7 linked regions of the Zea mays genome follow. The protein of the gene in region 4 binds, or shares a complex with, the protein of the main gene of each other region. Links are inferred from orthologs where the notes say so. Each region holds a gene or a part of one and is shown on either strand. Other genes may lie near its edges.

What was found.
Region 1: 50S ribosomal protein L34-like (region 4) and 50S ribosomal protein L9 share a complex: the UniProt entries of both Arabidopsis thaliana proteins name them as parts of the 50S ribosomal subunit. The link is inferred for Zea mays from reciprocal best matches to the Arabidopsis thaliana genes AT1G29070 and RPL9.
Region 2: 50S ribosomal protein L34-like (region 4) and 50S ribosomal protein L31-like share a complex: the UniProt entries of both Arabidopsis thaliana proteins name them as parts of the 50S ribosomal subunit. The link is inferred for Zea mays from reciprocal best matches to the Arabidopsis thaliana genes AT1G29070 and emb2184.
Region 3: 50S ribosomal protein L34-like (region 4) and 50S ribosomal protein L13, chloroplastic-like share a complex: the UniProt entries of both Arabidopsis thaliana proteins name them as parts of the 50S ribosomal subunit. The link is inferred for Zea mays from reciprocal best matches to the Arabidopsis thaliana genes AT1G29070 and emb1473.
Region 5: 50S ribosomal protein L34-like (region 4) and 50S ribosomal protein L5 share a complex: the UniProt entries of both Arabidopsis thaliana proteins name them as parts of the 50S ribosomal subunit. The link is inferred for Zea mays from reciprocal best matches to the Arabidopsis thaliana genes AT1G29070 and AT4G01310.
Region 6: 50S ribosomal protein L34-like (region 4) and 50S ribosomal protein L15, chloroplastic-like precursor share a complex: the UniProt entries of both Arabidopsis thaliana proteins name them as parts of the 50S ribosomal subunit. The link is inferred for Zea mays from reciprocal best matches to the Arabidopsis thaliana genes AT1G29070 and RPL15.
Region 7: 50S ribosomal protein L34-like (region 4) and 50S ribosomal protein L24, chloroplastic-like share a complex: the UniProt entries of both Arabidopsis thaliana proteins name them as parts of the 50S ribosomal subunit. The link is inferred for Zea mays from reciprocal best matches to the Arabidopsis thaliana genes AT1G29070 and RPL24.

The regions. Positions count from the first base shown.
Region 1 is NC_050100.1:222,785,224-222,789,484, reverse strand, and holds 50S ribosomal protein L9, read left to right. Parts: upstream 1-1,154; 5' UTR 1,155-1,226; coding exon 1,227-1,370; intron 1,371-1,896; coding exon 1,897-2,024; intron 2,025-2,337; coding exon 2,338-2,383; intron 2,384-2,629; coding exon 2,630-2,727; intron 2,728-2,907; coding exon 2,908-2,955; intron 2,956-3,048; coding exon 3,049-3,169; 3' UTR 3,170-3,226; intron 3,227-3,312; 3' UTR 3,313-3,537; downstream 3,538-4,261. Other genes in the region: Chaperone protein dnaJ A7A, chloroplastic, read left to right, coding at 459-504; methyltransferase WBSCR22, read right to left, coding at 3,929-4,093. UniProt on the Arabidopsis thaliana protein: Binds to the 23S rRNA.
Region 2 is NC_050098.1:221,940,069-221,943,037, reverse strand, and holds 50S ribosomal protein L31-like, read right to left. Parts: upstream 1,606-2,969; 5' UTR 1,548-1,605; coding exon 1,458-1,547; intron 1,352-1,457; coding exon 1,049-1,351; 3' UTR 756-1,048; downstream 1-755. UniProt on the Arabidopsis thaliana protein: Binds the 23S rRNA.
Region 3 is NC_050098.1:202,897,281-202,901,826, forward strand, and holds the start of 50S ribosomal protein L13, chloroplastic-like, read left to right. Parts: upstream 1-1,648; 5' UTR 1,649-1,754; coding exon 1,755-1,979; intron 1,980-2,462; coding exon 2,463-2,648; intron 2,649-3,214; coding exon 3,215-3,385; intron 3,386-4,168; coding exon 4,169-4,285; 3' UTR 4,286-4,546. Other genes in the region: uncharacterized protein LOC100285659, read left to right, coding at 3-158, 310-586, 693-949.
Region 4 is NC_050098.1:192,685,840-192,689,777, reverse strand, and holds 50S ribosomal protein L34-like, read right to left. Parts: upstream 2,534-3,938; 5' UTR 2,508-2,533; coding exon 2,258-2,507; intron 986-2,257; coding exon 726-985; 3' UTR 582-725; downstream 1-581. UniProt on the Arabidopsis thaliana protein: This protein binds directly to 23S ribosomal RNA.
Region 5 is NC_050096.1:5,387,169-5,390,805, reverse strand, and holds 50S ribosomal protein L5, read left to right. Parts: upstream 1-1,605; 5' UTR 1,606-1,708; coding exon 1,709-2,014; intron 2,015-2,144; coding exon 2,145-2,345; intron 2,346-2,501; coding exon 2,502-2,846; 3' UTR 2,847-3,132; downstream 3,133-3,637. Other genes in the region: glycoside hydrolase, family 28 precursor, read right to left, coding at 3,204-3,637. UniProt on the Arabidopsis thaliana protein: Binds 5S rRNA, forms part of the central protuberance of the 50S subunit.
Region 6 is NC_050096.1:27,447,011-27,450,907, forward strand, and holds 50S ribosomal protein L15, chloroplastic-like precursor, read left to right. Parts: upstream 1-1,488; 5' UTR 1,489-1,489; coding exon 1,490-1,919; intron 1,920-2,180; coding exon 2,181-2,332; intron 2,333-2,920; coding exon 2,921-3,142; 3' UTR 3,143-3,227; downstream 3,228-3,897.
Region 7 is NC_050100.1:50,135,385-50,140,014, reverse strand, and holds 50S ribosomal protein L24, chloroplastic-like, read left to right. Parts: upstream 1-1,566; 5' UTR 1,567-1,623; coding exon 1,624-1,752; intron 1,753-3,188; coding exon 3,189-3,227; intron 3,228-3,315; coding exon 3,316-3,543; intron 3,544-3,678; coding exon 3,679-3,861; 3' UTR 3,862-4,047; downstream 4,048-4,630. UniProt on the Arabidopsis thaliana protein: One of two assembly initiator proteins, it binds directly to the 5'-end of the 23S rRNA, where it nucleates assembly of the 50S subunit. Required for optimal plastid performance in terms of photosynthesis and growth.

The sequences.
Region 1 (4,261 bases), on a different chromosome or scaffold from region 4:
GTTGGCTGATGTATCTCTGAATATTACTGTTCACCGATCGCTGTTGAACGACTTATCACTTTACCTGTTCTTTCACGCACTTCGAAACTGGCGCAGCGGAGCGCCCCGTCCGGTCTAGTGTAGTAAATAGTAATGGGAAGTTGAATGCAGATGCCTCTTTTATTGAAATCTGAACCAACCCAACTTAATCTTGTAGTAATGAACTATATTTTTGGTCACTGCATTACATTTCCGAGTATTCTTTAAAAGGGGAAATTACACTGTAGTAATGGGAGATTTGAATGCAGATGCATAACCTCTGTTGAAATTTGAGCCATCCTAACTGTGTTAGTTGTGTTCGAGAAAAATAAAAGGTTGGCTGAGTTCGAGAGGAAAAAATGTTGATTGATTTAGTTCATCAGACATTTTTGTGATTGGGTTATCTCTTGTATTCTGACCTAGATGTTGAATTCTTTCAGGTCCATTGTTAATGGCGCTGCGAAGTGGCTGAACGACAACCTGTAGGCTGTAAATATTTACTGCAGGATAGAAGATTGTCTTACATGGTGCTGTAGTCCAATCAAAGTTCTTAGATTCATTGGGGGTCCCCACGAGCTCGTATATTCGTTTTATTGGAGAGCTGCAAGATTTTCAGGCTGAGTGGCAACCGAGGGAGTGAAAGTTGTCAACTAATATCGTCGCGGCGTTGGTCCCTTGTCATTCTTGCCAAGCAATTATTTTTATGTAGTTGGAGTCCTTTTCAGTCTGGCAAGCGGCGTAGAAGTCTGAAGCTGTGGGATGCTGATCCCAAACCCCGGGACTAGACAAACACTGTACTTGAGGTTTTGGATTAATCAAATTCACCGATATCGAATTGCAAACTTATCCAACTTACAAGATGCGATGGAACTATTTATTAGAAATACGTTTCGGTGATATCGAATTCTCAGTTTCGAGAAAGGGCTATCACGCCGGCAGTTCACGCGGCTGGATCCGGGCACGGCGACCGCGCAGGCTCCCGCCATGGACGCAGCGCGACAGGCGAGAGAAGCTGTGAAACGGGCTCTACGGAGCCGTGACATTATCCATTCCAGATCGATTGGGCCGCCGCCGCCGCTTTCTCATTTCCGGGCCCAAACCATTATTTAGGCCTCTCGCGAAGTCAGTGGATGGATAAGAAAGGAAAGCGGTGCGAGCGGAGGAGGCGACCGAAGCGCCACTTGCTTGAGTAGCGAAGCGCGAGAGCAATGGCGTCGCTGTCGTGCGCCTCCACGCTGCCCTGGACCCCCGCCTCCTACCCGCGGCCCTCGGCGGGGCGCTGCCTCACGGCCTCTCGCCGGGCTCCGTCGCTGGTCATCGTCGCCCAGGGGAAGGTCAAGAAGTACCGCCAGGTCGGCCCGGGCTTTCCGCGTGTTCTTATGTTCGAGTTCTGTGCTGATTTCATCTTAGCAATCAGTTAATGCACGCGGGTTGCTGAGGGCATCATAACCTGCCGCGTTTTAGTTTTCTTCTCTAAAAAAATTGATGCACCGCCGTCGGTACGTTTGTATATTGTGATCAATAGATACAAATGAAGTTAGCTAGCTTAGCTGTCTCACTGGCAACAGGTAAGATATAGTGGCTCGCACAATTTAGATGCTCCAAGAGTTGTACTACTACTACTACTAACCAGGCTTTTAGGCAGGGGATTTAGATACTAGGGATGAAATACCTTTGATGGGAGCCTTGCCTCACTAGTTGGAGTTCAGTTCATAAGTCGTTCCTTTTGCTGTGTTTGCCTGATTGTACAAGAATGCAACAACGGTGCATCCAGTTAAATTGACAATGTGGTGCTTATCTTGTGTAGCTATTACCGCCACCCTTAGCATTACATGTGATTTTACCTTTCTCCATAAAAAAAACAATTCTTTCCCATAGGTCATATTGACAGACGACATAGAAGAGGTGGGGAAGAAAGGGGATACACTGAAGGTGCGAGCTGGATTCTACCGCAACTTCCTCCTTCCCAAGGGCAAGGCTACACTTCTGACCCCAGAAGTCCTCAAGTAATTGCTACCAGCTCTCGGTTATCCCTCACTTGCTTTGCTTTGTTAGTTATGTCATTTAATCCTCAAGTAATTGCAAAGTCCACACTCTGTCAAATGATTCAGTGGCTGCTGGCAACCGTATGACCTTCTCTGTGGTATGCTTAGTTTGACTCTGAGGTTTGGGACCTAGGCACCTAGCAAAACTAGATTGAGATATGAATCCAATCCATGCACCTTTCTAATAGAATTGCAATGGTCGACACACATACTGTTTGATTCGATGGGTAAGTAAGATTGCGAATGAATTTATTGCCTCTACTTCTCTTCGCAGGGAAATGCAGCTGGAGCAGGAGAGAATAGAAGCTGAGAAGAAGCGGGTAGGAAAAAATATTTTACTCAGTAATAAATGTAGTTGCAATTTAACCTCAGCGACCTTTTTCTTTGTCTGGAGAGTAAACTTCAATTGCAGTTTATCCTTACTTTCCTTATGAAAAGAAAATATAGTGCCTTTATGTCCTCCGTAATTTAAGTCCTAAGCATGATATGTTCATGAAATTCTATCAATGCATTTTTATCAGTTTTTGTTTATAATTATGGCCTTAAGAAGTCCTCTATTTACATAGGTAAAAGAAGACGCGCAACAACTTGCTCGAGTTTTTGAAACCATTGGCGCTTTCAAACTCCCTCGCAAAGGTGGAAAAGGAAAACAGATCTTTGGGAGGCAAGTTCTAAGTTGGACAATCCATTATTTATTCTCTCTTGTCTCAGGCTATCTCTTACAGCTTACCCATCTCCATCTCTCATTTCAAACTCTACTTTGTACACACTGCAATCTATAGTGTCACTATCTGCTGGGTATAGTCTTACTTTCACTTTTCTGACGATATCTTTTATTGTACAGTGTCACGGCACAGGATGTTGTTGACATAATAAAGTCACAACTTAATAGGCAAGTGCATATGCTCCTAACTCCTAGGCAATCTTAATAGCGTTTCTCATCATTATATTGCTTCTCTTACTGCTGGCACGCTGTGTCTTGTAGGGATGTCGACAAGAAGCTGGTGACGGTTCCAGAAATCCGTGAAATCGGAGAGTATGTTGCAGAGATCAAGCTTCACCCAGACGTGACAGCGCGAGTAAGGCTGAATGTCTATGCGAAATGAGCTCAGCAGTTACAGAACCTCGAGTAATGGACTTTGGAGAAGCCTGATGTTTGCCAGGCGAGCTCATTTGCCGTTGTTCTTTCCTTGAGATTTGGCTCTTAGAATTCCGCTGGTCTTGCTCTTACACAGTTGCTTTTGTTTAGTGCAGAGATTTTGCTGCAAGTGCCAGGTGCTGCGGTAGACATGAGGCCTGGTCTGGCCGTGACTTGCCTGGTTTTGATACACAATTCACTGGCTCACTGCGCATCCTATTCCCTACCGTGTGAAGTCAAGTTTTCAACAATTATATCTGTTGATTTTGAGGCGGAAAATATAAATTGTTGTAAAGAACAATTTGTTTGAACTGTAGAGCACTACTTCGCCAAAAACGACCCTTCTTTCTTGTCCTCTAACCTTCCCCACCTCTACGTCTGCATCCACTACAAAAAAAAGGCAAGAAATTTGCTAAGTATGGGGCTCCATAGAGCGTTATTCAGATTGGAACACCAACGTACTTGACACATGAACTGCGTTTCTTTTAGCCAAAGTCTGGGCGTCACCAGCGATCTGATACAGATTCACGCAAACCAACTGTATTCATCTCAACATCCACGTTCTACAAAAATGACAGTTTCACATCGTTGTCTAAAAATGCAATGACTCCCGAATACCAGTACAACTCCTCGCTTCACCCTTTACAAAAATCCTTCTGCTTCTGCTAAATGAACTAGCATCATAACTGAACAGCCAGCATTGCAGGCAAGGGGGCATTGCACAGAGCTAGAAATAGCCTTTCCGCTTACGCCCGGTGTACTTCGTGTCGGCGGGCACATCATGTCCTCTTCTTCTCATCTGCTCCTTTTTCCTCAGGAGCCAATCCTTGCCTTTGCCATTCTTTTTCGTTTTCTGCCGCTTCTTCGGCCTATTCCTTTCATATATTCCCACCTGCATTTCAAGATAAATTTTCATCCAGTGCTGGCATAATACTGATACACATCCACAATCATACGGTAAGAGCATAAGATATGGGAGTAAAAAACAAGAAACTATGACACTGCAAAGATTCGTGATCAAGCATAAAGAGTCAGTATTTAACTACTGCATCCAAGACAA
Region 2 (2,969 bases), about 29 Mb from region 4:
CTAGTATTTGATCCCACATGTAATACACTCAGTTTATTGGAATACGTGAAATCTCCTACTCCCTTAGGTGTTATATTATTGTCATTTAGGATAACGACACAGTCTTTAAAATATAACTTTAACCAATATTTTTTTGTTAGAATACAAATAAAATCTTAATGCATTTATACTTTTATAAAATTACTTTTTAAGATAAATTATGTTTCAAAACTAAATAAATAACAGTTATTTGTAGTCAAAATTTTATAAGTTTGACTCGAACATTATCCAAAACGACAAATAATATAACACCGGAGGGAGTATCTATTTGCTTGTCGCTATCTATTCTTATTTCCGCCACATTTTCTATCAACGTAGGAAATAGAGTGAATCAGAGCTAGTGTATGATATTATCTTCAACGGTTTATTAATAACAAAATAAAATTACTTACTTTTCTTTTGTCTAGATTAAGCCAATAATATTATAGTCATTTTGTTTTATTTTATAGAAATTAGCTTGAATTATATGTTGGTGCTAATTGTTTGTAATGGCATGAGATTTTACAAATATTCTATTCCACCCATATGGCCGTATGTCACGACATGTTTTATATATCATGCAACACATGGACACTCAATTAGTTCAGTCGCATGGAAAAATTGGTTGTATAAAACTATGACTCGGAAATTGGATCACCTAGCAACAGGAGGCTAGTTTGATCAAACAGTATGCGGTATCAGGTTATCAGCAGACGACTCAAGCTGTAGTCAAGCATCAGCGTATACTCCTAGTGAGAAATATCCATTTCCTCGAACCAGGATCATTTGCTTGTTTGATCAATACCATCCTACCCTAGAGTGCATTGCAGAAAGCACATTGTATTTGGGGGCCCATGATCAACAAGACCCTATCTCGTGAAGTAGTAGTAATTGTACATTTTCCATTCCGAACATTAACCGAACACCTGGAGAGCAATGCGAACAGACAGAGTCTCGATTCCATTCAAGAGGGCAAATGTAAACTGGACCGGTGACCACGCACCGGGTGAGGAAGACGGGGAGCCATCAATCAGTTGTCCCCCTCGGGCTCGAACTCCGGGTCGCCGTCTGGGTGCATCTCCCTCCACTGGTCCTCGGGCCAGTACTCCTTGATGTGGCCCCACTTCTTGCGGAACTTCTCGATCTGGCTGTCCATGACCACGAGCGCCGAGGTGTCGCCGACATAGTAGGGGTGGTTTCCGGACCACACGTCCACCGTGTACTCCGGCTTGGTGCCCCCCGTCACCAGCACCAGCTCGCCGTTGCAGTACACCTTCGCGTCCTCGTAGATCTCCGGGTGCAACCCCTTCTTGCGCATCGAGCAGCGCATCCCCTGCACCGCGCCGTCCAGGTTCCGGACTCAGGAATTAGCGGCGGCGACGACGAAGATCCGTGCAGGAATGGCGAGAGGGAGGGCCGGTGTGTACGAACGTGCGTACCTGGGAGGGGACGACGGAGCGTAGGGTGCGGGCGGTGGTCCTCGCGGCGGCGGGGATGGGGAGGAAAGAGGTGGAGAGGGAGAGCGTCATGGCGGACGATGGCCTTGCCTCGCGACAGTCGCTTCGGCTGCCTATGTTCTTTCCTTCCTCTTATCTATCGCCTTGCTAATGTTATCCTCTGGCGCTCGTCGATTCTCTCTTTAGGTAGCGTTGTCTAGGCTTGTTTGGGCTCTATATGTTCATTAAAGTCTGTCTGTGGTTTGTTTTGGGCTACGTGGAAATGCGACGGCCCACGAAAAATCCAGTGCCCAATTTCTCCTTCAGTTATTTCCAGTTGGCGGCCAGCTATACTAAAGAGGTATAGCTATGCGGTTTTTTATTTATCGAAACATTTCGGATCAAAATTCTCTTTCATAGATGTAACGTCGAAGAAAGTACACCACCAGAAATGAAAGTGTTGGTAGATGGTTGGTTGAATTAGTGGGCCAAAAGAAGAGAAAGTTGCATGCCGTGTAGAGTCTGACTTAAATATAATTAAGGAATGATATGCAAACTACAATTACAGTTGTTACGGTTTTCTTAAGAGTATAAAATTAAATAATTTAGAGCAACTCTATTAGAGCAACTCTAGTAGTTCTCCAAAAGATTCCTTAAATCAATAAATAATTTAGGTAGCTAAACTAAAAACTCATCTCCAACAACTCTCTTAAATGAATTTTCTAAATTTAGCTACTTCTCATCTAATCTCAATTTCTCCCTACATTTAGCAACCATTTATCAACTTCCTAAACAAAAAACTGACGATAACTTTTGTATTTTGGTGTTTTTTCACTTTGTAGTAGAGATATATTAACAGAGCACATTCGTCGGACGCCGACGATGTAAAATTGTGGCAGGTAGTCAACTAGAGATTAACCAATTGCCAATGCAATAGCCGCACGTGCACATGTTAGAAATAAACGAATAAACAATTGTGATAGTAAATAAAAAAGCCAACATAACTCACCAATTAAATGTGTCATCACTAATGGTCCTACTCAAACTAGCGTCATGTTAATTAAAATTTAACATATTTAGAAAGTAATAGATAGAGAAATGTTGGATGAGATGATTTTTTCCCCTATATTATATGAGAACTTGCTATATCTAGGATTTAGGTATTATTATTATACATAACTATTGTAGTTGCTCTTACTAAATACTATACTCTTCTATCACCTTTTGGTATATCATTATTCGTACGTCATGCTGCCCTAAGTATTCATATATTTTAACTTTGGTTTGTTTGGCTATCTCTATTCATTATGCCTTGTTGATAATAGATCTAGCTAAGTATTCATATATTTTAACTTTGATAGGTGCAATTTTATATTTGTTATTTATCGATTAACTACATCTACAAAGATTTATTCCATGTTGTATGAGTATAACAATGTTTGTCGATCATAATTACGATGTTCTGCTGCAATTCATACTAAACTATGATTGTTTGCTTTATTATAGCTCATACAT
Region 3 (4,546 bases), about 10 Mb from region 4:
AGGTTTGCTATGTTGCTTTCTGGGATGAAGTGACACTAGCAGCTCAGGAAGCTGAAGGAAAGGTAATTGGTGATGATAGCATGATAGGAAGGTGGCGGATCATTGTTGTCAGGAGCCTCCCTTTTGTAGATCAACGATTAAATGGGAAGATACCAAAGGTAGAAATCTTAAGATGTCATAATCTATCCTCTGTACCAATTTGTCATGATAGAAATTCTCATTCTCACTTTCCTAAGCCTGATATTTTATTTTTAGGATTGGGAAACAAAGTGTGTTCAGATACTAAATCACTTAACATGATTTTTGCAGATGTTGACTCATCGCCTTTTCACAGAGGCAAGGTACTCTATATGGGTTGACTCTAAATACCAATTACGAAGAGATCCTATAGGAATGCTTGAAGCTCTTCTTTGGAGGACAAACTCTACATTTGCTATCTCTGAACATGGAGCACGGAGTAACATATATGATGAGGGGAAAGCTATTGTTCAAAAGCACAAGGCTACCCCTGAAGAGGTAGAGGTACAATTGACTCGGTATCGTCAAGATGGAATGCCGGACACAAAAAGATTGCACGGACTGAAAGGTCAGTCTGTTAATCTTTCTCAAACAATTGTTCTTTTGCTCCTGTGGAATATCTCTGTATATGTTTTCCGAACTGTTATAATGAATTTACCCGTTTGATTTTTCAGCTCTAGCCGAAGCCTCTGTTATTGTGAGGGAACTCACCCCTGCAACGAACCATTTCATGTGTGCTTGGTTTAATGAAGTGGTTCGCTTCACATCTCGTGATCAGCTCAGTTTTCCATACGTTTTGTGGCGGCTAAACATGCATGGATTGAGCATGTTTCCTGTATGCACTCGCAGGGATCTTGTGAATAGTTTGGGTCACACAAGGAAAGTAAAACCTCTTACACAGACAAATTCAGGGTCTTCTACTACTTCGTAACCTTCCTCCCAGTTCATTTGCTGGTAGCCAACTAACCATTGATTTACATATGGTTCTAATCGTCGATACTCGACATCTCTGGTTCACAATTTTGTTGTTGTATATTATCATCTTTGCGTTCTTCCTGCGAGGGAATCCTGGATCTGAACCAGAAACACGTTAAGCTGTTGCTTCACTGCAACGCAATCACACGATGTTGCCACTATATATGTAAAAGATATGCTTTCTTTGGTTAGAAGAGAATGAACACTTTTCTGCCTCCTTTCCGTTTCCTGATGGAACATGTGAAAATGGTGTCCGTTATCAATTAATTCGGCTTCTGCTGCTGATGGTTGTCGCGGAAACTAGCAGCAATGGAAGTTCTGTTCCCGTCATTTTATTTGGACTCGAGAATTTCTCTGATTACCGATGTTTCTAATTGGTACTTGAACAGCGGAATCGTTTGAAAAAAATATGGTCCTGTCTGAAGCTATATTTTGTTAATGCAGCTCCCTTTGCCCAATAGTAATACATTGAATTTCTTTTTTTTAGATGGAATTATGGAACCGCCATTATTCTGAGTTTGGGAAGAGTTTCAAAGGAAGCGTTTAAATCTCAGATGAGCTGATAAGGTGTCGTAATGGGCCAAATCTGCATTTCGTTCTGAGCCCATGAAGCCCATATGTTCTTGTTAACCTTTCCCTGTTCTTTGTCTCCTATCCCCTTATCCGCTTGACGCTCCCCACTGCGCCTAAAAATGGCCGCGTCCCACTGAACCAACCGTCTGCACATCCTCCTCCTGTTGCCGCTCGCTCGCCGTGCCGCAATGGCTACGGCCGTCGCCTCCCATACGTTGCTCTCCTCCGCCTTCGCCCCGCGCCACTACCACCGCCGCCTGACCCGGACCGCGTCCGTGGGGCCGCGCCGGGCCGCCCCGGTGGGACTGGCCGTGCGGTGCGAGAAGAGCGACAAGCAGAAGAGGCAGCCGCTCGCCGCGCTCGTGCCCCGCGAGCAGCGCTTCATGTTCGAGGGAGACGAGCTCTGCGGCCCCGTACGACGCTCTCTCTTCCTCTCTTGAAACAATGTGCACATTTTCACAGCTCGTTTTGCAGGATTGTAACCCTGGACTGACAGTGTCCATCCTATTTTGTTCATGTTTCACCGTGGCCATCTTAATCCACCTCAGAGGCTTCGACTATCCTTTTATGTGCATGATGAAGGGCAATCAAGTTACAATAGAACTGCGTACATTATATATGTTATCTGCCATGTGCCATCATATCCAAAATTACCCATGGGCTGTTTGTGGTGAGAGAGAATTCATTAAAAATGAGCTTAATTGGACATGCAAGTCAAAGTGAACTGATGGTTGCCAACCAGCCTGTTCATAATTGTGACTTGTTTAGGATCAGTTACTAATACTATGGGTACAAAGTGAATGGTTTGTTTGTACTATGCCTTGTTCTTTCTTCTAATGAATTACTCCACAAGTAATTGTGTCTACTGAAATCTGATTCAGTGATTTAATTTGCAGGACATATGGAATACAACCTGGTATCCTAAGGCTGCAGATCATGTAACTACCGAGAAGACATGGTATGTTGTTGATGCAACAGACAAGATCCTAGGCAGGCTAGCATCCACCATTGCAGTACATATCAGGGGAAAGAATGAACCCACTTACACTCCTAGTGTAGACATGGGAGCTTTTGTTATTGTGGTAAGCGTTCTCTCAATACCTATAGTGTTTGGAATCCCTACAGTTAACAGGTAGCCAGCTAACAAATTGTTAGCTGGGTTGAGCCAGCTAATGAACTAATTGTTAACTGTGAGTTAGCTAACAATTAGTTGTGGGTGTTTGGAACCTGTATAGCTAATTTTAGCAGCTAACTATTAGCTGTAGAGGTTCCAAACAGGGCCTTAGTATACATGCTTTACTTCCCTCAGATTATTTGGTACTGAGGTGAGTAACCTTCCTCAAATAATCTTCAACTGTAGTTGTGTTTAATGTTTATGTTAGCATAGTCCTTTTGTGACTGGTGCATCTCTAAAGGCTCATTACCACGTATTCCCTCAGTTCCAAGTTATAAGACTTTTTGGATTTTTTTTGGATCCATTACTTTTGCTACGCACTTAGACATAATTCATGTCCAGATATTTAGTAACAACTATGTATCTAGAATTACCAAAACATCTTATAATTTGGAACAGATGGAGTAGATGATATGCATTATTGTGTTACACTACAATGCTGAGAGTCATTAACAACCTTTTCTATTCACATAGGTCAATGCAGATAAGGTTGCTGTTTCTGGTAAAAAGCGGTCACAAAAGCTTTATAGGAGGCACTCCGGAAGGCCTGGAGGGATGAAAGAAGAAACTTTTGACCAACTTCAGAAAAGAATTCCAGAGAGAATCATTGAACATGCGGTTCGTGGCATGCTCCCCAAGGGAAGGGTAAGAAAAAACATCTACTAGCTGATTGCCTCAGGTCTACATGTTCTCTTTCTCGTTTTAGTGCGCATGTTATAATGTATGCCAAATATGAAAATGACAACCAAATTTCCTGGTGACCTTTATTTTAAGGTCCCAAAAATTACAATTTGGTATTAGTTAGCAGATGTGAATTTTTTCTTTTGAGATTGAGAACTACTATAGTTAATGGTGAGGCCTTGTTCGGTTATTTCAATTCCATGTGGATTGGTGTGTTGGGATGGATTGGGATGGATTTTGACTTGCTATGGATTTAAACCGACTCAATACCACTCAATCCACATGGATTAACGGCGAAACGAACAAGCCCTGAAGTGTATTGCAGTCAGAACATTGCTCATGCATCAGCATGTACCTCCCAGTGAAAGCGTGACATTCAGAATAAATCACAGTACTAAATTCAAGGGAATGTTGTTATTGAACAAAATTAACAAGTCCAGATTGAATTAGTTAATTATCTTGCCGATCTTTTTTTTTCTAAGTTCGCAAAGGTGTGTTGCATGAACTCCATAAAAATTGCCTATTAACCTTTTTCTTGCAAATTGCTTCTTAGTTCAATTGTTTGGTAGTATGGATGCGTTTACTGAAACTCACATTATGGCAGGCAAATATCTTGTTATCTGAAGCATCCCCCCTAACCATTCCATTTTTCTTGTTGATGGCAAATTTGATTTAACTTAGTTTTGTTATGTGCTATATACTTGTTATATTTACATTTATATGCTCACCTTTTTTGCCAATTTGCAGCTGGGAAGAAGATTATTTACCCACCTCAAGGTATACAAAGGGACAGAACATCCGCACGAGGCTCAAAAACCTGTCCCACTCCCGATCAGGGATAAAAGAATACAAAAAACTGGATAGAGAATTCATCGACTGAAAAGGATGCAGTGGCGAATTCCTCCCCAGAAGGTTTTGCCCTTTGTTTGGAATGCTATCCTCATAACCATGCCTCTGATCGGGGAGGGGGGGGGGGGGAGTATAAATCCTCTTTGTAATTTTGATGTTTACCAATGCATGAAATTCAGTCAAATTTCTGTCAATGAGTAGTCATGTAATATGGTACGGTTTAAATCAACCTAAAATCTTTATTTTCCAGTTGAAGTTTGTAATTTTGACCTCGTA
Region 4 (3,938 bases):
TGCTTTAATTTACTCTACTTTTAGACATCAGAGTCCTTTCGGCCTCTTTCTCTCCATCGAAAAGAGAATTTAAGTAGCGCAAGGATCAAACGGCCGCACGGGTAAGTAGTTTCATCATCAGCTAATGAAGGTAAATCCGGTTTGTCTTATTCAATTTTTTTTTTGAAAAAATAAAAAAATCCAAAGCCATACTTAAAGTATATTGTATGCTAATCAAAACCACAGTAAACTTTAACAATAATTATGATTTTTTAAATAAAACGAGATGGTCAAACTTAGTGTAAAAAAGTCAAATGAATTATAAATTGGAACCGGAGTATATAATAGTTTAACTGATTATCCCTGCAACGCAAAAGGAGATCCTAGTTCAGTATAGCGAACGATGCTACTGCACACAATTTCAGACCCAACAGGGAAGATTCAGTATTCATAACGGAATATGGGCAGGGTAAAAGGAGATCCTACTTCATAACAGCGACGGTATCTACTCTCAAGTGTTCCTTCATACTGCACGCAGGTTCAGGCCCACTAGGGAAGAGTAAATATTCATAAGAAAATATCATTCATACACCAAATAAAACCTTGGAAGCAGAAGGTGATCCAGATATTTTTAACCAATTAAACAGGAATAGGATGCTACATGATTGTTACACATAGATGGCGGCTTAGAAGATTGCAAGTAGACATTACACTTACAGTTGCGAGCACATCAAATTGCAGTGTAATTAGAACATTCTTTTCTTCCCACTGTTTGAGTTTGTCCTTGTGCAAAGAACCTTCCTGCCTTTGGCGCGCCTGCGCTTCAGTACCTTCCTTCCAGAAGTAGTCCGCATCCGCCTGCGGAAACCATGTGTACGGGCAAGTGACTTCCTAGACCTTGACCTCTTGGTCATGCAGAGGGCAGCCTTTCCAGCCCTAATCTGCATACCACGGGATCTCCGTGTTGTCATTATACTGTAGCTGAACTCGATTCCCAAAGATGAACCTGGCATAGAACATGCTATAAGTATAAGAACAACGAAGGCACACATGCACTCACAATCATTGATTTGTGAATACCTATCTGGTTGTGTTTGGATTGTTATACAATGCTTAAATGGTTTGTTGGATTCAACTTTGTCGTGCTTCTTTTAGGAGCTTTGGGATTTGCTTTAGGTAATGGAAAAGTCGAGTGTGATTAAAGTGTTGTCGTAGTATCAGACTATCAGTCCTGAGATCAAGTTTCTTGGAAGCGTTTATGCTTCAACTGTGTTATATAATCTTCACTATATTGGTTAATAGTCCTGTCATATGCAGCCCTTCTTAAATCTTGATTTCTTGTCAAGCAAAAGAAAATGCTATTGCAATGACTTTATCTTGAGACTTGGTGGATGACAACATGCAGTGCCGTTGGTGGGCTCCTTGCCATTGCAGGAACAAGGTGTGGGTTTTGGGGTAGCAGATTTTCGACAAAAGCTACGCTCGGCTTTCTGTTGATGCCAGCAATGGTGACGCACTCCTCCTTGTAGGCATTGTCAAGAGGTCTCTAGACCCTAAGGGGATTTTGGTTCAAAAGCATAGGTTCTATAATCGATGGCGGCACCTGCAGATGTTGTTTACCTCCTTGGAGGCATCATATGAACCCCACCCCATATCTTGTTTGGCTATCAGGGCGTGTTCTGATTGCCAATGCTCTGATGGTTTTATTGGCGATGTACTATTATTTTGGTGATTGTCTTGCCATCGCTTCGTTTCGTGAGCATTTTTCTTTTGTTTTCAACGATGTTGGTGTATCTAGTCCTTCTCTATTAATATGCCCGACTAACTGAATTTTTGGTTTTTTTATAATACCAACCACACAAGCTTCAATGTTTTCAAAGAATTAGTTAGGACACCCTTATTTCTGTTTGTATAGATGAAGTGAGTGTAATTAATTCCGGTTCAAACGTTAAAACAACATAAATCCCCAGTTACTGTTCTTCACCCTACTAGAGTAATGAACAACAAAGAACAAACTATTCCAAAACTCCACCCTCTTGATACCAGCTTACTGTATTATTAGTGAATTATTAGCAAGTCAAACATCCTATTCTGCAAATCTATCGTCAACACACGGTCATGAAGTCATAATTTCAAATTTTTAATGTCATTTCCCCGTACGAGCTTACTAGTAAGCAAACTACCCACAAAATTTCCCCAAATAAAGACCAAAACAAATGGCCGCCCAAACGCTAGCACACGAATACAGGAAGAAAAGGATTACAGGATACATTCTCACCCGCAAACGCGGAGGAGGACGTAAATGCCAGAGACGCCGAGACAGCCGCCGCGAGCGAAGCGGGGGAGGCGGAGGCGGAGGCGGACGACGTGGAGGAGGACGAGACGAAGGAGCTCCGGAGGAACGGCGAGGCGGATACGCCCACCGGGGCCGCCCTGCGAGTGCGGCCGACGCCTCCGATAGACGCCGCCGAGATCCTCCCGGAGTGGAAGGAGAGAGACGCCATTGGAGAGGCCAGGGCGAGCGCCATGGTTTGGAGGACTCGCAATCGCAATTGCTGCGGTCTAGCCACTCCCTGTCCCTGGTGCTTGTTTTATTTTATCTTATCCACGCTTGATGAGACAGGCCTTATGGGCCTCCTATGGGCTAGTGCACATTTGACCCACACATCCCCTCCTCCGCCCTGGAGAATCCCGGTTCCTCACGGAGAAATTTAGGATTGCGCCATTATCAAAAGTGAGTTTCGCTATTTTACCATTAATTAGAGGGCTTCATTCCATTATAAAACTTACAATGATACTAGTTGTATGCCCGTGCATTGCTACGGAGTAAAATATGTTAAGATAAGATACGTTGAAATGCAGAAGCATTAATTGTTGTCCTATACTCTTGTTAGCATCTTTTAAAGATTAAGAATGTTTACAAAACTGTATCATGGTAAAGCTTGAAGAATTGCTTCCTCATTTCTGGATCTTTAGCTCTAAGTCCGAGCATATACAGTTGTTGAAAGCCAAAAGGGGCCGCGCGGACGGTCCACGGTCCGGACTGTCTTCGGTGGTGGCGCGGACGGTCCGCACGTGCGCAGAGTCAGTTAGGGTTCCTAGTTTCTCATGGGATTTGTTATCTAAAACCGTGGGATTGACTCGGAAATCAGTTCGAAGCGGATCCAGACCTCCCCCTTTATATAGATGAAGGGCTACGGCCGATTGAACTCCCCAACAATCGATCAAATCAAGTCTATTACTCGTTTTTACCTTATGCATTAGGAGTAGTTCTAGTCTAGTTCTAGTTTAGCCCTAGTTTAGTATTCTAATCCCCAAATTCTCCGCTTCTCTTCGACTCTATGTCGATTAGAGGATCTAGGTCGGCCTGTCGAGCCTAGACAACCCCTAGAATCTCTCCTCCCCGACGGGGTCCCTCCCGGGAGCGAGATCCAGGCGCCGCCGGCGACCTTTCGCCGCCCCTGCGCACACGCGGACCGTCCGGCCCCTAGGGCGCATACCGTCCGGCCGTCAGGCAGGGAACCCTAGCCCTGCGTCAGGTCGCGGACCGTCCGGCCCCTGGGCGCGAACCGTTTGCGCCTGTGTAGAGAGCACCGTCGCCGGTTCTTGTTGAGTGTTTGGCGCCCGAAAAAGGTGTCAACATACTTTTGGCGACTCTGCTGGGGACTAGGTGTCTAGACCTGCTAAAAATCGGCCCATAGATGGTCGGTTCTAAGGATCACACCAAGATCTCCACCACCAACATCATCAAGCCGGCCATGGAGGCGCTCCCGGCTGATGACCAAAGACCCTTTGAAGACCTCGTAATGCGTGATGAGAAGGAGGTGATGCAGCAATGGAACGAACAACGCGACAAGGAATAGGCGGAGCTGCTGCATAAACTCTCTGAATGGCACAAGGAGCCGGTAGAAAAGTACTTGTCACACTTCACGGTGGATCGCCACCAGAAGATCACCCGT
Region 5 (3,637 bases), on a different chromosome or scaffold from region 4:
TGCCCCTCAAGGTGTTTCTAGGAGTAGGACGGTGTCGACGACTGTAGCAAAATGGTTCGTGCCGATCGCACGAGGGACAGTGGACAAGATTTACAGGTTCGGGCCGCTTAGAGATGCGTAACACCCTACGTCCTGGTGAGTATGTGAGCGTGGTTACAAGAGGGCTCTCTGGATTGAAGACACAGAGAGTTGATGTGGGTGGCGAAGTAAGATAGGGTCGATCGTTCTGAAGGGGTGCCCCTAGGCCTTATATACTCGACCGTGGGGCAGTACACGTGGATATGATAACAACAAGTAGCTAAAAGGTAGTGAACCTCTTGAGTTTATCCCTACGTAACCCTCGCCGACTTATCTTCGCATGGCTCCGCTGCATGGGGGCTTCAGCGCGGGAAAGTCGGGTCTCTGTTGCGATTTACTCGCTCGACGTTGTGGGCCATTCGGGTTTGCACCAATCCGGTATCACGTCGCTCTGCTTTGTTGGTTGTTTCTCCCCAGGCCCACAAAAGAATGACCTTACGATTTATTGGGCCCTTGGGCCTTTCGTGAGGTCTTTTACTCCTTTAGTGGACCCGGGGGATATCTATCCCCCACACAACAGCCTTAGGCTCCATGGCATCCAATTGTGTTGTCACATGGAGCATAGGGTGTCCACAACCCCTGTCACGATAGTTTGGAATATTGCATCTCATTTTTGGGCCAACACAACCAACACACTAAAGACATCAATCATGGTTGAAAGAGAAGAGTAAGGCCATGTATACAAAGTACACAAACTAGTCTACTTCACGAGTGAGGTCCTATTAAAGTCTAAAGTACGATACCCGCAAGTCTAGAAACCACTCTACACCCTACTAATCATATTGCACAGACTTTGCCACTAGGTCTGGACGAGAAACTTGTGGATCCATAACTCGCTCTCATTAGTGGCTTGATACATCTTGGCTCGTTTGAAATGAGTCACGAGCTCAGCCAACATTTTAGTTTGGTTCTTAACGAGCCAAACGAGCTGCACAGCTGCCCTGCGGCCCAACGAGGCCCAAGCGTCAAGCGACCTAGCCCAACCAAGCGAGACGTAGACGACGAACCACATACGACAAATCTACTATATTCAAGCTTGAATATTCAGTTTTCAACATTTTATTTTGATTTGTATATCAATCTTTCAATATTTTATTTGATTTATATGTGGTGTGTCATGACCAAGCAATAGTGCATGACAATCTTGATAGCAAGCTACCATTATGGATTCTAATTGAACTATTTTTGTCATGCACTTTAGCTTGAACATGTGTAATCAGTTTAATATATGGTTACCTCTCACTAAAAAATATATATGTAACGTCATCATGGGCACATGTCCCACATATCAAATATTAAACTGATCACACTTGTTTTTTAAGTTGTTTTTTACACGCATGACCAGCTCAATGACTGTTGTTAATCACGTATTCACGATATTAGGTTCGTTGTTAGCAAAACAAGGCTGTATTATGATGTTAATCTTATTGATCCACTAAACAATCTTGGCTTGGGCTTGATGGGCTTTAGCCATCTCTGTATCCTCAATGGGTCCAAGTCCAGAGCACACGAAGGCCTAGCCCAGAACCACTGGATTGGCCACTGCCAGCGGCACAGCCGACGCCTTATCCAGCAACCGTCTTCCTCATCCATGGCATAAGCCGCGCCCGCCTCCGCACGCCCCGCTCCGATGGCAGCCGCGGCTGTGACCCTGCCCTCCTCGGGCACGCCCTTCGCCGTCGCCACAACCGCCTCTTCCTCATCCGCCCGCCGCTGCCTGCTCCTGCCCTCCGCGGCTCCCCGCCGAGCTCTCCGCGTCGTGGCCTCCGCCGCTACCGAGGCGCCGCCCAAGCCCACGCAGCCGCCGACATCGCCCTCCGGCATCGTGCTCGTCGACCCATCCGAAGCCCAGAAGGTGCACCGGCTCAAGGCCGTCTACGACCAGAAGGTCGTCCCGCTCATCACCGAGGAGTTCGGCTACACCAATGTCCACCAGGTGCTCGACCGTCGACCCTGCTCCTCCTCGCCGCGGAAAGGCCCGCCGTTCCTCCTTGTAGCTAGGCTAATTTGCTGGCGTGGTAGGATTTTGACTTTTGATGAGTCGTGCGGTTGGTTCGAACGGCTAGGTTCCCAAGCTCGAGAAGATTGTGGTGAACTGCGGTCTGGGCGCGGAGGCAGGGAACTCGAAGGGGCTGGATGCCGCCATGAAGGACCTGGCCATGATCACCGGGCAGTGGCCCGTCAAGACCAAGGCCAGGAAGTCCGTGGCCAGCTTCAAGATCCGTGAGGGAAACACCATCGGTATCGCAGTCACCCTCCGCGGCAGGGTGAGCCTCATCCATTGCTCATTTGGCCTCGGAGTGTATTTCGTGGCAGTTTGGAATATGGCAGCTTAGTATAATCTGCAATACAAGTGGAAATTGTGAGCTCGTTTCACTGGTACAGGGCTCATTTCTTTTTCTTTTTTTTGTCCTTGGCTGTAGATAATGTACAACTTCCTGGATAGGCTCATCAACCTTGGGCTCCCTAGGACCATGGACTTCCTGGGTGTCAACCCCAACAGCTTCGACGGGCACGGCAACTACAGCCTTGGCCTCCGTGACCAGGGCGTGTTCCCGGAGATCCCGTACGAGGTGGGCGGGAAGAAGAACGGCATGGACGTGTCCATCGTCACCAGCGCCAAGACGGACAACGAGGCGTTCAGGCTGCTGGTCCTCCTCGGCATGCCATTCTCGGAGAACATCAAGACCGACGTGGTGATCCGGAAGAAGAGGTTGAAGCGCCACCACTTCCTGAGCAAGGGCAAGGGGAAGGGAGGACGACGGTGAGGAGAGGAACCAGCCAGCCAGCCAGCCCATGGTTGCACACGCTCTGTTCAGCTTGTTTTAATTCCGATCTTTTTGCAGAATTTGGCTTACAAATTCGATGCTGTTGTTGTCTGTCAATTATGTAACTTGTGCACCTATGAAAAAGGTTTGCAATGATCATGTCCGTTTTGCTGATTTCTTCTTGATGCATAATTTGTAGTCACAAGTTATACCACTGCCAGACATTGTAATCGGAGGAAGCAGTAATGTGAGACGGACACTGTAATGCAAACGTATTTCAGCTGCATTTCTCATACTGCTTGTCTAGACTATCACCGAAGAGCCTATATGATCAATGATCTCTTTTGGCAATCGGCCTCAATAGCTACACTTCGGCAGCTCGGGTGGGCCGATGACGAGCTCTTCCTCCGGGAAGGCGCACGGCTTGCCCTCCGCGGCGAGCTCCGGGCACGGCTTGGGCGAGACGTGGGAGGTGACCCCCTTGACGTTGGTGCAGTTCCACTGCAGCTCCTTGGCGTCCGGCGCGAGGCGGGCGGTCACGTTGGATATGCAGATCCCGGTGTAGGGGTCCTTAGGGATGCCCTCCATCCTGCCGGCCATGGTCACGTTCTCGGCGAACACGTCGCTGTAGTTGATGCCGGTGACCTCGGGCATGGCGTTGGGGTCGGACGTGTTGTCGGGGTGCTGCCCGTAGTTGCCGGTCATCCAGAACACCCACTTCATGGTGTGGAGGCTGAGGCCGCGCACGAAGATGTCCCTGACGAAGCCGCCCCTCCCGGCGCCGGACTTGA
Region 6 (3,897 bases), on a different chromosome or scaffold from region 4:
CACACTAGGGGAGATCATTCATCTAACTCGAAGCAGGATGCACAATTTAGCATTATGATTAAGGTAGAATCATAAGTATGAGCAGCTATCAGGGCAATTCCATGATATATATTTAAAACTCAAAACACTAAATACTAATCAAAGCACCAGTTAAGATACCAATTAAAAGTACTCACTAAGGTACCCATTTTTGTGAACCATGAAGGTGACAAGTCTCAATTACACCCTTGTAGCTTGCTCAATCCTCCTATCCACCTTGAGATTATGTAAGATCACTAAAGAAAACATTAGTCTCAAATAACACAAGATATGTGTGCTCCCCTCAAATTCTGCATCAAGTACTTGAATACAAGGTTACAATAAGCGCTAGGCGTTAGGCGGGCGTTAGGCCACTGTTTAGCGCCTAGAGAGCTTAGGCGTAGATTAATCGTGCTTAAGCGTTTGTAGGAATATACAATATAATATATATATTTGCACAGAAAAAACAGTTTTAGCTAGGAATTAGGGGTACTTACCTGGAATAATGAATAAAAGTATAGAACAGAAGAGATGGAGGAGCAGAGCAAGAGCAGAGGGAGAGGGAGAGCACGCCTGGATAGCTAGGGAAAAGGAGCAGAGAGGCGCTGACCCCGGTGGCCTGGACGACTTGACCAGAAGGAGAAGAGGAACCGACGGTGGCGGCCCTGGACAGCTGGGGAAGAGGACCAGTCTGGCAGCGGCCCTGTTTTCCTCCTCTTCCATGCAACAGCAGCTGCAGCTCCCAGCCTGTTTCACTCTCTCCCGGGCAACAGCAGCTCCCACCTCTTTCCCTCCTATTCACTTTCTATTCCCGCGCAGCAGCTTTTTTCTATTCCCGCGCAGCAGCTTCCGTGCTCACCTTTTCCCCGCGCGCCGAACCCCGCTTCCACACGCCTCCTTTCCGCCTCAGCGCGCATAGCGCAAATCACGCGCCGCCTACACGCGCCCACCGCGGAAACCACCGCCTAGGGCCTAAGCGCAGCGCTAACATGCCGCTTAGCGTCTAATCGTGATTAGGCGGGCGCTTAATCGCGCTTTTTTGAACATTGCTTGAATAACTTATTCTACCCACATTCTAGCAATTAAGGATGTGTTTGGTTGCCGGACAGAGTTTTTTGCTTAAGTTTGTGCATATTGCAAATCTTTTTGAAAAGATGTGAAAAAGGTATGGTTCTATCCCTTACTCAATTATTTTAGTTGCTAACTATGTTTGTCTAAGCGTTAGAGAATATAATGTATCAAAGTTTTGATATAGTTCTATCTTCTATTCAGAAAAATACCGATTTTTTCTTCTTTATATACAACTTTCGAGTATATTATTATTATTGACATGAATGGGCCACGGCTGTTTGAAAAACAGGCCCAAATAAAGAGTGGAAGAGGCCCATCGTCTCCATCTTATCTCGTTCCCAAACCCCAATTATCCGCTTCTATCCACAATCGCAATTCGCAAGCCCTTCCAACGGCAGTCATGGCTTCCATCACCCTCCTCTCCCTCGCTCCCACCGCCATCTTCCTCCACATCCCGGCTTTCACCTCCTCCTCCGTCGTTGGTCCCGGAATCCTAGCCGGCCGCTGGGCCGCGCCCCGCGCCCTCCCGCTCCGCGCGCTCCCGCCCCGTCGCGTCACCGTCGTCTGCAGCAGCGCCGCGGCGGCAGCCGAGGCCTCGGACGCCGCAGCGCCAGTGGAGAAGTTCCGGCTCGACAATTTGGGGCCCCAGAAGGGGTCCCGCCGGCGGCCCAAGCGTAAGGGACGCGGTATTGCTGCAGGCCAGGGCGCGAGCTGCGGGTTCGGTATGCGCGGGCAGAAATCGCGCTCGGGGCCCGGCGTCCGGCGCGGGTTCGAGGGAGGGCAGATGCCGCTCTACCGCCGTCTCCCCAAGCTACGGGGCATTGCCGGCGGTGAGTTGCTTCAGTTAAACCGAAGCTTCCCCTAATGCACTCAATCGAAGCAACTCGCTAAGCTCTAGTTCAGACAGATGCTTGTCTCACACCCCCACTTCGGCATTGCCCATCCGTGATTAAATTCACACCAGGCTGGCGCATAACTAATTGAACTATGCATTGTGTTGTTACTCGTGAGAGCCCATCAAGGTTACAAGGAATGCAGAAATGCAAGTGATTGAGAAGTTGCCTGATGTGAGTTCCACCATGGCTTTTCAGGGATGCACATTGGCCTGCCGAAGTATGTGCCATTCAATTTAAAAGACATAGTGCGCGGCGGATTCAAAGATGGTGACGAAATATCACTGGAAAGCCTGAAATCACGGGGTCTGATCAATCCATCAGGCAGGGAAAGGAAGCTGCCGCTGAAGGTAAATCTTTTGATGATTAACCTTTGGTTGTTTCAATAAAACTTGTTTTGTGGACTGGTATTTGTGACATAGAACTTGACACGTTCGAAAATATGAATGACTTCATATTCAAGGGTTTGGCTTAGGTCTTGGCCAGTGAGGACATGTTCTCTTTAAGGCAACCTTATTGTACCCCAGATTTGAAGCAAGAATCGAAGTGTTTAGTGATTTGTCGTTAGATTGAGTGGCCAGTATTCTTACTTTTTTACTTCTTATAGGTTGTTGTATCGATTCTGAATTAGCCTGTGATAATGTTAGGTACCAAGTTTATCCACTTGAGTTAGAGTCATCTATTAGAACATGCAATACGGGATCGAGTTTTTTTGGTTGTTTCTGTTAGATGAGCACCACTTGAAGTGTTGAATAGCTTTGTTTGTACAATTTGGCAATGTTCCCATAGGTTGTTCATTGGATTTACAATATATTCTAGAGTAACTACAAACTTCCATATCTGCTAACATAAACATGAAGTGGCATGTGCCACCTGTTAGTTTTTGCAATCATATTTTGTCTTACCTTCATGATCACTTGTTGTTCACCTGTTTGTAGATCTTAGGAGATGGGGATGTATCAGTTAAGTTGAATATCAAGGCTGGAGCGTTTTCAGCTTCAGCTAAAGAGAAGCTTGAGGCAGCTGGTTGTTCCCTAACTCTGTTACCTAAACGAAAGAAATGGCTTCCACAAAATTATCTAAAGAACCAAGCCCGAGCAGAAGAGTACTTTGCCAAGAAAAAAGCTGGTGCTGGTGAATCTGATAGCGGCTCTGCATAGAATTTCTTTGCGATGTACTCTTCTCTTGCTTTTAGCATATGCTTATTACTGAGCAAGACACACCGGCTCAACTAAAAATGTTCATAACTTCTTCATCCAAACTCTGACTTCGATGATATTAGACATTTCGGAAATTTTATTTAAAGGGCTACGATAGCCACTTTAATAATTGATTCAGAACAAAATGGACTAATCCAGAATTCAAATCCAAAGACACAACCCTTGGTTAGGAGAATATCGAAAACCTTTTTTTACAAAGAAAGTTAACTCCAAATGATTTCCCACGTGATGATCAACACCTTTAAGACTTAGTTAGCATTTTCAAAGGTTTTTTATCTCAAACTTTATCCACCACTTGATCCTAGCAACATATGCAAAGTTAGATCACTCAAGTGGCTCTAGATGACAGATATGGAAACAATGTTGACTATCTTAATAGTACGACCATCTATTTTAAACCAGATTATGCACAATTCTACACAACCTTTGATTGGTGAAATGAGATGCTCTGCAAGTAATACATTTCCCTTGTACATTCTATTTCATCTCCCGAAACAATGACACAACACAAGCATCGACCTCTATCATCAAATGTGAACATTGATCATTCATCGGTGTAGCGAATCACGCTACATTTGATCATAGCACACTGGATGAAGTTCCTCCACAATGCTTCAACAAAAGCATGTAACTAGTTGTTTCTAATTTCCACGTCAACGCACCATGCTGCTTTTAGGACTAGTTTGGAAACTTAA
Region 7 (4,630 bases), on a different chromosome or scaffold from region 4:
CTGAGCTAGTGAGCTTCACTTGTCTTGGAAGCCCTTCCAACGTGCGTCTCTACTAAGTAACTCTTGTGGAGGCCACAAGGTGCAAAATCTCTATCACAGTGGGCAAATTAATCAACAACCGAAGGAAACTACTTGACATGTCTAGCTCCGAAACCTGTGAAAAAAAATGGTCCACATCTGGAGTGTCGCAAGCAAGTAGAGCTTTGCCCAGACAGATTGAGTTTTGCCCAGCACTCCAGCATCCATGCCTTAAAAGGTTATAGTTAGAAAGGGGGAGGATTGCTAAGCCCTTGCCAGTTAGCCACATAGAGAGAAGGCCTTATTATTAGATCATGCCATTTCTTTTCTTACAAAATTAACAAAGTGCAAAGCATTACTATGGCCACGAGGAACAGATAGCTACGAAATGAAACTGTCGCAATTATCATGGAAAAAAGCCACACATTTCCTTATCCATTTTGTTTGGTAGCGCCACATAGAAACAAAACTTCATGTCACGATTTGCATAGTTATCTCAACACATGTGGCGAATAGAAAAGGAGAAAGAGAAAAATAAACACAAGATTCTTAACCATAATAAGATATAATTTGTGTCGGGCATTTGCATAGTCACATGCTTATCCCATGGGGAACGTTAAAGGTTTGCTTGCACGGCAGGACCATTCCTGATTCCCTAGATGGTAGTTAGATGACGGCGATAGGAGCCGAGGCCCAACTGCCCAGTGATGTATTGGCCGTGTTGTTTATGTGATCTGTCATGGATGTCCTACTATGATTCAAGGATTTAGGACATGCGCAGAACTGCCAGCAATGAAAAGTCGAAGAAAGAGATATTGACTTCGAGGGGGAGAAATGTAGTCCACTATGAGAAAAGAGATACCCAATGTCTCTGGAGAAAAAGATCTGAGGTAAACACGTCTAACTTGCAACCATGATTTGCAATAGAGAAATCCGATTGACATCCCACCCTTTCTCGGTGCAGGATGGGACCTGCAGCAGCAAAAGCGCAAAGCTTCGATGTCACCGCCATCCACCTACCCTCCATCGCCCAAACTGTCTCTGTCTCTGTAACGCGAATTTTATTTTACACAACAGCAAAGTGAAAAACTGGAGTAGGGGGTTCGCTTGCCTCAGCAACCGTCGCGTAGCTTGCGCGCCTCGGCGCTGGAACGGGGAATCTGGAGGCGGGCACGCATCTCCCAAGCAATCTCGCGTGGCCTCGCGTAGCGTGCGAGGAGACACGCAGAGAGGGAGGGAGAGAGAAAGAGAGCCTTGACCCCGCCGTCCTCGTCCTGTCGTCCTGATAGCTGATGCAGTGATGCTGATCAGCTGATGCGTGCGGAGCTCGCTCGTGGAGCCGAGGCCCTAGCCTGTAGCCTCTCACGGCGGTAGAACGAGCACCCATGGGCCTCACTGGATCACCTAAGCGTCTTCCAGGCCCATCTGTGCCTCACCTGAGGCCTGTCTCATTTAGTGACGAGGCCCAACCCACCAGCGTCAGAATACAAGAGCGCGTTATCCTCTCTCTTCCGGTTCCGGGCAACTCGAAGAAGCCGCGTGCGTTATCCTTTGAGCAGTTTGGGCGCTGAGCAAGTCCAGTGAGAGAGGGAGAGCGGCGAGAGGATGGCTGGGATGGCATCGCTGCAGGGCGCCATGGCGTCGCTCTCCATCTCCGCGCTAGGCGCGGCGACGGCGAGCAGCAGCAGCTTCTGGGGCAACCGGCTCGCCACCTACTCCGCGCCGCAGCCTGGGGTCTGTTCCTGCTTCCCAATTCCGTTCCGTTCTGCTGATGGTTTGGTAGATAATAAGTAGCTGTTCTGGTGAAAGATTTTACTCTGGAGTTTCTGGATAGCGTTGCAAAGCGCGGTCGGATGGAATTGTTCTAGGGACATTCGAGCTTGCATTACGGTTTTGGAGCTAGTCTGTATGGATTGGATGCAATGAAATGGAAAATTACCTTTGCATTGTTATTAATTGTGCATTTTCAAGGATGACAAACCAGGCTTCTAATATGACTATGTTTAGGGGTGTTTGACATCACTCTAGAGCAAAACTTTAAGGAAGACCTGGACAAAGTCAACTAAACACCCTAATTCTAGAGTTGCAAACTCTATAGAGTTTTGAGAGTTGTAGTATAATTTTTTGGAGTACATTTTTTGCTACTTTGAAAAATCCTTCAAAAACAATCAAGACACATCCAATGCACTGGTTATGAGAAAGCAATCTACACTTCGGAGCAGATATACTTCACCCAAAGTTTTGGAGTAGAACTATGCCAAACTCGCCCTTATTAGATTTCATATTACATTAAGTTTCTATTTGCTCCACGACACACACTAAATTTAGACCGTGTCCATATTGAATTTCGTCTACCTTCTTTTTTTATTTTTATCTTGCATGGAAGCTTAAATGGTAAGATTTGAGTGCGCCAAATAGATTAACTGATTGGGATTAATTTAAGTAAGAGAATTTCCTTTGTCATTGGTAATCCGGTATTGTCCTTTTTGCATATACAACTATGCACATGTTTGCCTTTTAGTGCTAATAGAGAGTATGCTGTGTTTCATGTGGTAAAATTTGTTCGAGTACTCTTTATTTAGTTTGTTAACTGAGGAAATTATGTTGCTTTTGAAGCGGTCAAAATGTCAACTGAAGAAATTATGTTGCCCTCAATGTGCCACTGATTTTGTTTATATATATTTATGCCTGAATTACCCCACATCACACAATACATATGACTAACTGGAAACAAAATTTGGCGCCAAATAGTGTATTATGAGCATAATGATGTTTGTATTTGAACCCTGCTTTCTTTTCTGTGTCATCTTTATTATGCCTTACCTGTATGTACTTGTGCCTGGAAAATTCCCAACTGATAAGAATCGGATGAGGATAAACCTTTCTGTTAAGAAGCAAAAGCAAGTAAAGAATAGATAGTGAGGTCAAGTAATCACTGTTGAAGGAAGTGATAGAACCACTGTATTTTAAGGGATATCGTATTACTCAAACATAAAGAGGAGCCCTGGATCCTGTAGTGTCTTGATCAGATCAACATGAATCGTAACCACTGTGTTTGAGTCATGCCATATCTCAGAAGCATCTGATTAGTGTCTCTTTGATTTGAAATGGAATCTTATGTCTTTAGGATGTGAAGTTCTGACAAGCTGTTTAATATGTTCAATATGCAGGTAAGGTTTATGGTCAAGATATGCCCAATTGAAATGAGAGTGAGTAAAAAAAATCTTTAGTCCAAATATTTGATACCTTTTTTATCCAATAATGTGAAATGTCCTAAAACTTCACTTTCCACTGCAGCTTAAGAGATGGGAGCGAAAGAAGTGTAAACCAAACAGTCTTCCTGTGCTGCACAAGATGCATGTTAGGATCGGGGACACGGTACAGGTTATTGCAGGCCGTGAGAAAGGAAAGGTTGGAGAAGTCACACGCCTTTTCAAGCACAACAGCACGGTGATCGTGAAGGACCTGAACTTGAAGTCGAAGCACAAGAAAGGCACAGACGATGAACCCGGTGAAATCGTCATGGTCAGCAAAATTTCTATTGAACTTGTTTTTTGGGCCTCTCATGATGCTTTGCACATATTGGTTTCAAGAGCATATCTGTAGTTTTAGTAGGTGCCTAATCGTTCTCTTGATCAGACTTAAATTTTCTTTGATCAGATTGAAGGCCCCATTCATAGCTCAAATGTGATGCTCTACTCTAAGGAGAAGAGTGTGGTAAGCAGGGTTGGCCACAAATTCCTGGAGGACGGGACCAAGGTCCGATACCTGGTCAAGACCGGTGAAGTAATCGACAGTGTTGAGAAGTGGGTAAAGGTTTTTAAGGAAGGAAATTCGGAGTAACAGTTTTAGCATGAAAACCTGCAAAATGCTCTGAACGCTGACTGCGTCTTGCATGTTGAATTGAGCCTGTTTATCCCTCTATGTTGTTATTTACGCCAGTTTTTCCCCCTGTAAATTATACAGTTGTCACCAAATCTTGCAACGCAAGTCAATGCGCATCAGCATATGCTGATCTTGTTCCGCTTCACCAGTCAGAGTTTTGGATGAAAAACTATGAGGGCATGTTCGGTTACAGTAATCCAGAGGGGGATTGGAGGGGATTAAATCCCCTCCTAGTCATTTTTGACTAGGAGAGGATTTAATCCCCTCCAATCCCCCTCTGGATTGGTGTAACCGAACAAGCCCTGAACGGGCTTGTATGTGCGGGCAGCCCGTGTTCGTTTGCAGCTCTGGACCCACTACTCTCGGTCTCGTCCTCACTTCCTCAGAAATATCCACATATATCATTTCCTATATTACAAAGGCATATTACAAAGGCGAAGTAACCTGTGCACATGAAGCAATAGTGCACATATAACATCTCAGTCTCTAATCTTCGATCAAACGGTTGCATCTCCCAACTCCGCATTTTATTAGAAAACACCCTCCACCTCTCCTGAATCCCTCTGAATCTTTGATGAACCCCCCAAGCTCCCTGTGCGCCAGAAACAACTATGATCCTTATTTCTGGCCGCCGCCCCATGTATTCTGGTCGCCGCTTCCACTTCGTTCCCTGGCCACCGCTTCCACCTCATTCCATGGCCACCGCTTCCACCGCTCGTCCTCGCCT